2 linked regions of the Drosophila melanogaster genome follow. The protein of the gene in region 1 purifies or fractionates together with the protein of each later gene. This does not show direct contact. Each region holds a gene or a part of one and is shown in the gene's direction. Other genes may lie near its edges. The genes, in order: ben and Uba1.

Region 1 (3,925 bases):
CTTATTGTACGAAAACCAAGAGAATTTCATTATATTCTACCACTAAAGAAGTGGCTATACTAGTCTTTCTTTTTCGACTAAATCTTCACTTTGTAGCAGAACTTTAAAACGTCCTTCGATTTGAATGTCTTCTTACACTCTTCACCTCGTCTTCTCTATCAATTTCTTCTCCCCTTTCCCCCCTCACTTTCTATCACATTCCTTTGAAGATCAGCTGTAGCGGTTAGAATTTGGCCATATCGAGCGTAAAAATACATAGAGGAAGGCACTAAAAACAGCTGCAGCTCAAGAGCGAATAAAGGTCGCCCCCGTTCCGCCCTCTCTTGCTCTTTCATCCCCTCTCGCACCAACCCACACACTTTCACACACACACACACACACGTGCACTGCGTAGGGAAAAGCAGCGCAGTTGCAGCAGAAAAACAGATAAACAGCAAAGCAGAAAAGAGGCAGGTTGCTCTCTCTCGCTCTCACTTGTGGGCTGGACTACAGTCGTTGTTGTTGGTTTGGCCAGCCTAAAAACGGAGATCGCACGTGTGTGTGTGTGTTTGTGTGCGGTGTGTGTAATGCTTATGGCTGTCTTGCTGTTGTTGGTTTTGTTGCCCTTTTGCAGTTGGTGTTTGTTTTTATCTCACACTCGCACACACACATGCAACCGGCCTATGCAATCGAACGAATACGAATGGTAAATAGCATGTGTGTGTGCGAGCGAGAGGTTTCGCTTGTTTTTTTTTGTATTTTAGTTTTCTGCCTTCCGCCTTGTGGTTTTTGTTGTTGCTCATTTCGGCTTCTTGTGCGTCCATTGGGCATTGCATTCGAGGTGTGTGGGTGTGAGTGCAAGTGCGCAGTTGTGTGTGTGTGTTCGGACAGCCTCTCTTTTTAAAAACGCATAAATGTTGATTACAGTAAATTGACAATTTGTTGTTGTTGCTATCTCGCTTTTTGGGTTTATGTTTTTGCACGTGTCTGATTGGAATCCTGTACCGGCTCCTTTTAGACTTGTTAAATAACGAAACCTATGTACAATCATTTTTTTAATCATTAATTTGCTATCGAATAATACTAAAGAAATAAAATTTATTTTAATTTGCATGCAATTTTTTTTTATTATAAGTCTTATTGTGATAAAAGTTTTTGGGAAACACATGGTTATGATGTTAAAAAGAACATAAAACCATATTAATAAGTGCTAATATGCAGTTCAAATATCGCTTTATAAAGTGCTGACATAAATGACCAAATTTCTCGAGAATTTTAGATGTATTTACCTTAGGTATGAAGTTAGGTTACATCTGATGAATATTAAAAATGCAAAGCATTGGTTTTAAGCAACGAAAACAAAGATCAAAGTCGTCGATTAAATAAATCCCGACTAAATTTATTGCTTATTCCCGGGAACTTACACTTTTTGTTACTTCTCTTTCGTGTTTCTTTCAACTGGATTTGTCCCGCCAATTTTCCAATCAAAATTTCTGACAGAAAAAAGCTAAGCGCTCCAAAACCTTGGGTTGTAGCGTGCCGAAGAGCTGATTGCTATGAAACACTGTCCTATTTGACAGCCGCTAAGCGCTAGAGTTGTCACCGAAAATGCGTTTTTACTAGTGCGAACAATAAAATTACCTGCGCAAAAATGGAAAAATGGGATAAAAAACAAGATGAGTAGCAAAGAAAATATTTAAAGATATATTTGTACTGAAATTAAACTGAGAAGGAGGTGCAAACGTGTTGCAAAAAAATTGAATTCACATCTAGGCACCCTAGCAACCCTGTCATTTTGACATTGCCGCTCACACGCACGCCACACAGACGCACGTTAGTCACAGCAACGCACACACACACTACCAAACGGCTACATTTTTTTTCGAGTGTGTTCGACATTCATAATTTTTGTGGTGGAGCTGCCTGCAAAATCGAATTTTATCAGTTTGCCAACGAAGTTATCGGCCATAACTGCAAATAAAGTTCAGCAATAACTTGGCGCTGTTACGATGTGAGTTTGTGTTTTATCGAAAGTTGCATACTTTATCTAAAAACCATTGTTTTTGTCCAAAAATGTTGTAAATGCCCGAAAAAATACCAAAGTGAGAACAACAACAACAACAGCAGCAAAAAAAAAGCAGGAGCAGCAGCAGCAGAAGAAGCAGAGGCAGCAGATAAAATTTAATATAATATCGAAGAAGAGCAAGAAAAAAGCCGTAAAAGTTGATAAATCGAATATATATGTGTGTGTGTGTGAAAAATAATAATTGCGGCGTTCGCACCAAGTATTCGCCGTTTTTTTCTATTAACTTAAATTCGCCAAAAAAGCGGCGTTTGCTTTTCTTCTTTTCTTGACTCGCCCTCTTTGTCTCACCCATCCGCATATTCTCTTTTCGCCTTTGTCTTTTTCGTGCGCGTTGTCTGCATTTTGTCTGTGTGCGTGGGTGCGTGACTCGCTGTGTCTGTGTGTGTGCGTATGCAAGCGAAATTGTTGCTTGTAAAAAAGAAAAATCTTATTTGGTTTTTTTTTTGTAGTTTAATTGCCAACATTATTGATTTTTCAAGCGGTTCACCCCGTTTCTCCCCCTCCGCATTCCTCCTGTCCAATCTGCTTCTTCTTCCTCTGCGGAACTACGTGCATTTGTCACCCAAAAGGGAAATCAATAAGTTGGTAAAACAGCGAAACGCCGCACATTATGGTTAAATTATTGCTGTTTTCGCGTTAATAACGCAATTTCTTTTGTTTGCTTCGAGTGTTTTTCGTTGCTGTTGTTGTTGCTTTCGCAATACAATTTCTGGAAATTTTGGGGCATTCATTTATTGCCTTTTGTTTCTGGTTTATCTGCGTCTTTCTTTCCCCTTCTCCTCTTTATTTTACTTGATTTTCCGTGTGTCTGGGAAATGTAAACAGTTAAAGGAGCCGCAAGGTCACGCTAAAGGAGTTGGCAATAGTGGGTGGGCTTTGACTTACACAAGCAGAAATTTATTTTGAACTTCGCAAAAAGTGTAACGGAAATAAATCCAGAAAATATTGAAAATATTGGTTTACAATATAGTCTAGATATCCAGAATCAAGTTAATAACTTTGAATTCCGTTCATATACTTCAATATAAATATTATTAAGTACTACAATTTGAAAACATCTTTAAATATACAACATATTTTGAATTAGTTTATTTTTTTTTTTAGCCACATAGAGACATCTTTGTGGCATGCTAAATTCTGTAGTAAAACTTTCTTGGGGAAAGTGAAAGCCACGTATCAGACCAAAATCCACCCAACCCTGCACACACGCATCCCCATAAAGAACGACCTTGAGCTGCAAAAAGGAAAATTCTCTTTGACTTGCCACGCTCTTCCCCAAGAAAACCAAGTGAAACTCCAATTTACTAATGCTACTATTTCACCGATACATGTAGTTGAGCCCTTATTTAAATTAGTAATTAGTTTAATTTCACAGTTGAAACCACGACTGTAAACATTAGGGATACTAATTTATAGTCTTAATTAACGTTGAGTGGATAGTGGATGATACCGAGGAACTACTTAATTGGTTAACTTCACTCCGATCTCGTTTGCAGCTCAACGAGAAGGTCCAGACTCAACCCGCGTTTCCAGTTCACCGCGTAAAAGGAACCAGCTAAACGATGTCCAGCCTGCCACGTCGCATCATCAAGGAGACTCAACGTTTGATGCAGGAGCCAGTGCCTGGGATCAATGCCATTCCCGATGAGAACAATGCCCGTTACTTCCATGTGATCGTGACCGGACCGAACGATTCGCCCTTCGAGGGCGGCGTGTTCAAGCTGGAGCTGTTCCTACCGGAGGACTATCCAATGTCAGCGCCCAAAGTGCGCTTCATCACGAAGATCTACCATCCGAACATCGATCGTTTGGGCCGCATTTGCCTCGACGTGCTGAAGGACAAGTGGAGTCCAGCCCTGC
Region 2 (3,925 bases), on another chromosome or scaffold:
CCATATGTGATGTGCTTAATTAGGGAGGGCGGAGTGCATTCCACATATGTACATACGTATGCATGTTTATATCTCTTCGGGGGCACGCGATGCAGAATATTTGGAGGACAGATGGGCAGCAGACACCCCCGCTCATTCGCTGCAGGATCAGTATGCTAATTTGGCAGGAATTTGTGTTTTTCGGGTTATACCACGCGACAAGGACGTGGAACACACCGCACGCGATAAAGTCCGCGGCTAGTTTCTCGATCCTATCGAGATCGGACTAAAATTAGAGCGTCGGAGGAGGGAGGGGGGAATTTCTAAAACGGGAGCAGCATTTCGCGCAGCTGTAGGCGTAAATTAAAATGCATTTTACGCAACTGTGCGACAAGATCCGGGCTTTAGATCCTGCAGCTGTTGCCCCTCGTACTGCATTTTCCTAATGGCACGCTCTCAACACTTGAAAAGGACACACCCCCGCCGCTCGGAAAACTGGTATAGGATAGCTCTCTGTTTTTCGTGGAAATTTACGCATTTTCATGCTCGACTACCGTTGCACAGAACAGAAAGGGAACCCCGACCGAAAATAGATTAGCCGCTCTCAAAGGATATTGAACCCGGCCAGGACCAAGCGACACCGAAGGACTTCGCCGTGGGTCAGTTGGTGTTGGTTTGTGGGACAACTGCCGAGGGGCGCGTGCCACGATCGGGGTTTTTGGGCCAGGATAATTGCCTCAAGTGCCGACAGATTGATGACCAGCAAACTCATTGAAGTATATATTTCAATTTCGAGCTAATGGCTTAGAAGTTGATGAAATCGGAGAGTAAAGAATTATTAAATTTAAGTTTTTTGAACACACATCTATTAAGAGGTTGTTCTACGTTTGAAATATGTATTTGCTAAATTAACTTTCAATCGATATTATGTCACTCACAAAAACGAATATTCCAATATATTTTATTTATTCAAAATATTGTGAATATTGCTTTATTTATAGAAGAAGGGAACACAATTTTTGAATTGTTTAGAAAAATAAGAACGATCTATTAAATGGCATAATTCAAAAATATCAAGTTTAAGCCATATACATGTATAAGTTACTTTTAAGTTTGACCAGTACAAAGTATATAGGAATTTATAATGGGGAAGCCAAGCTATATTATAATGAATAATTATTATTATTATAATGAATAATATCAAGATATCAGGGTTGTGCTTGCACCACAATTATGAAAAATAAAGTAATGACCCAGAAGTCTGTTATCATCTATTTATAAGCAGTTTGAAACAAATTAAAACCCACTTTAAATTTTATCAAATAAATATATTACCAATATACATTTAAATTTCGAACATTACATAGCAAAAAAATGTCAATTGAAATCAACAAATTTTTGAAAATGCGAGCCATATTTTCATTAAACGAGCTTGTATTTTTTGAACCCGAACCGTTTTTTTTTTCAAGTTTAAAAAGAATTAACTAACTCTAACAAAATCTAATATTTCAGTCGGTGTAGTAAAAACATAAACATAAACGATTTCAAATGTATCCTGAATACGCGGTAAACTTGTGTTTACCAACACCGCCTCTTAGACTATTCAGGCCTGCCAGATCTCCAAAAAAATATTATTTAGATAAGTTAGTGACACAAAAGGTTTAAGTCTTAACTGCGCTTAGCTGGGCTTTAAACCCACTGCCTATTCTTTGCTAATTGGAGTATTGCAAATCAGTTTTGAATCTGATTTATTTGTCCCGCTTACCAATTTTAATTGTGTAAATTCATTTGGTTTTACTTGGCCAACTTACAAATAATAGAATAATAAAAATGAAAGCCGTCTGTTTAATTATTAAAATAATGTGAATTAATTGGATTATTAATCTGGGCGTTATTATATAGAAAAGAAACCTAACTAACCAATTGCGGAAATATCGATAGCATCGCAATAAAATCTATATTGTGCCACCTCCAATTCACACAGGTCGGTCACACTGGGCAGGCTTGCCAATTTCAAGAGCCGCGGCCACACTACTGCGAATTCTATACTGCAACTCGATCGTGCGTGTTCTGTATTTTTGGGAGTGCGTTGTTAGAAATTCGGCCACAAATAGAATCCGCTGTCCTGGAACGAGTCAGAAACCACGGGAAATTGACTTCCGGACTAAATAGCGTTCTTGTGTGTCCATCCGTGTGCGTGTGTCCGCATTCTGCAGTGTGCGTGTGTGCGAAAGAGAGAGGGCGAGCGGTGCAGCCGCAACTGGGAAATTCGATTGCCAATATTTCAGCAAGGAAGCTATGTCGAGCGGTCAGCAATTGATGGCCGATTCGCCAGCCTGCAGCTCAAGTGACCATTCGCCGCTGGCCAAAAAAAGGCGTTTAGAGTTGTTGGGTGACGGAGTGGGGGCAATGGGAATGGAAGAGGAAGAAGCCGGCGGAGCAACGAGCAGCAGTAGCAGCAACAACTACGAAAATCACGACAAAGCAGGCGGCGTTGACATTTCGGGCAAGTGCCAGAGCAAGACGACTAGCGAGCACCAGCTGGAATTGTGCGTATCGTCGTCTACCTCTGACACATGCGGCGTTAATGCTGCGGCGAAGCGAGCCGAAAAGCAGAAACTGAAACAGAGCCAAGGAAGCGGCGACGACGTTAGTACCTCGTCAGCAGTGGAAAAGGAAGGAAGCAAGCGGCCGGAGAAGCGCAATTACCTGAACACCACCACAATAGAATCGCAAGAAGCCTCCTCCAGTGCATCCGCCACTAGCAACAGCAACAACAACGTCAGCTCCAGCAACAATAACAGTAATAACAGCACTAATAACCGACAACTGGAAGGAAGCAGCAACATGGCTGGAAACAGTGCCGCCGCCGGCGGAGATATCGATGAATCGCTGTACTCGCGCCAATTGTACGTCCTGGGTCACGATGCGATGCGTCGGATGGCCAATTCGGATATCCTTCTGTCGGGACTTGGAGGACTCGGCCTGGAGATAGCCAAGAATGTGATTCTGGGCGGCGTGAAATCGATCACCTTGCATGACACAGCAACTTGTGGGGTATGTGTGTGGGGCGAAGAAAAAATCGATAATTTTCCAGGCGGACGCGGGAAATGCCCGGAAAGGCTGACTTGGCATCCCTGGTCTTAGTGAATCATTCAGTTTTTATTTGATTTATTTATCATAGACTTCGCGCGAAATAAGGTTAGGTTAACATCTCTATTTGCTTGCAAAAAATTCGTTTTGTGTGTGTAATTCGGTTTTCCTTCTTTTTCTATTTGCCTCAAAATGTCTGCGCCATGCGAAAAGTGTGTGAGCGGGACAACCGTATGCGCATCGCTCGCTGCCGTTGTGTTTGCATTCCCCTTTGCTCAACGCATTCGGTTTTGTTTTATGCACTGAAAGATTCAACTTAAGATCTATGAGTTTCTCATAAACCGTAATATATCAATTATTTAGTTAATAGCCTTTCAATTTAAAGTTTTCTTGTATCATAAAAACTTTTTTGTTCTAATGACAAATATGTCTTTGCTGTACACTCGGCACAGAACCAATTTTCCTTTGTTAGTCATGGCTCCCGTCTGCTAATTTCATCACCGTTGATATATAATATTAATGATTATTCGTTTGTCTTGCAGCTCCATGACTTGTCGTCGCAATTCTATCTCACGGAAGCCGATATCGGCAAGAATCGTGCGGAGGCCTCTTGCGCCCAGTTGGCCGAGTTAAACAACTATGTGCGCACCGTTTCGCACACGGGGCCGCTTACCGAGGAGTTCCTGCGCAAGTTTCGCGTTGTGGTACTGACCAACTCCGACGGGGAGGAGCAGCAGAGGATCGCCAAGTTTGCCCATGAAAATGGCATTGCTCTGATCATCGCCGAGACGCGCGGACTGTTCGCCAAGGTGTTCTGTGACTTTGGCGAGAGCTTTACCATTTACGATCAGGA

Evidence for each region.
Region 2: the proteins of ben (region 1) and Uba1 purify together in Drosophila melanogaster (affinity purification with mass spectrometry, with the first as the bait; one large-scale study listed by BioGRID). This does not show direct contact.

What each region holds. Positions count from the first base shown.
Region 1 is NC_004354.4:13,994,534-13,998,458, forward strand, and holds the start of ben (bendless), read left to right. Parts: upstream 1-1,811; 5' UTR 1,812-1,990; intron 1,991-2,082; exon of another isoform or gene 2,083-2,264; intron 2,265-3,561; 5' UTR 3,562-3,627; coding exon 3,628-3,925. UniProt on the Drosophila melanogaster protein: Catalyzes the covalent attachment of ubiquitin to other proteins.
Region 2 is NT_033778.4:9,691,393-9,695,317, reverse strand, and holds the start of Uba1 (ubiquitin activating enzyme 1), read left to right. Parts: upstream 1-1,989; 5' UTR 1,990-2,277; coding exon 2,278-3,036; intron 3,037-3,614; coding exon 3,615-3,925.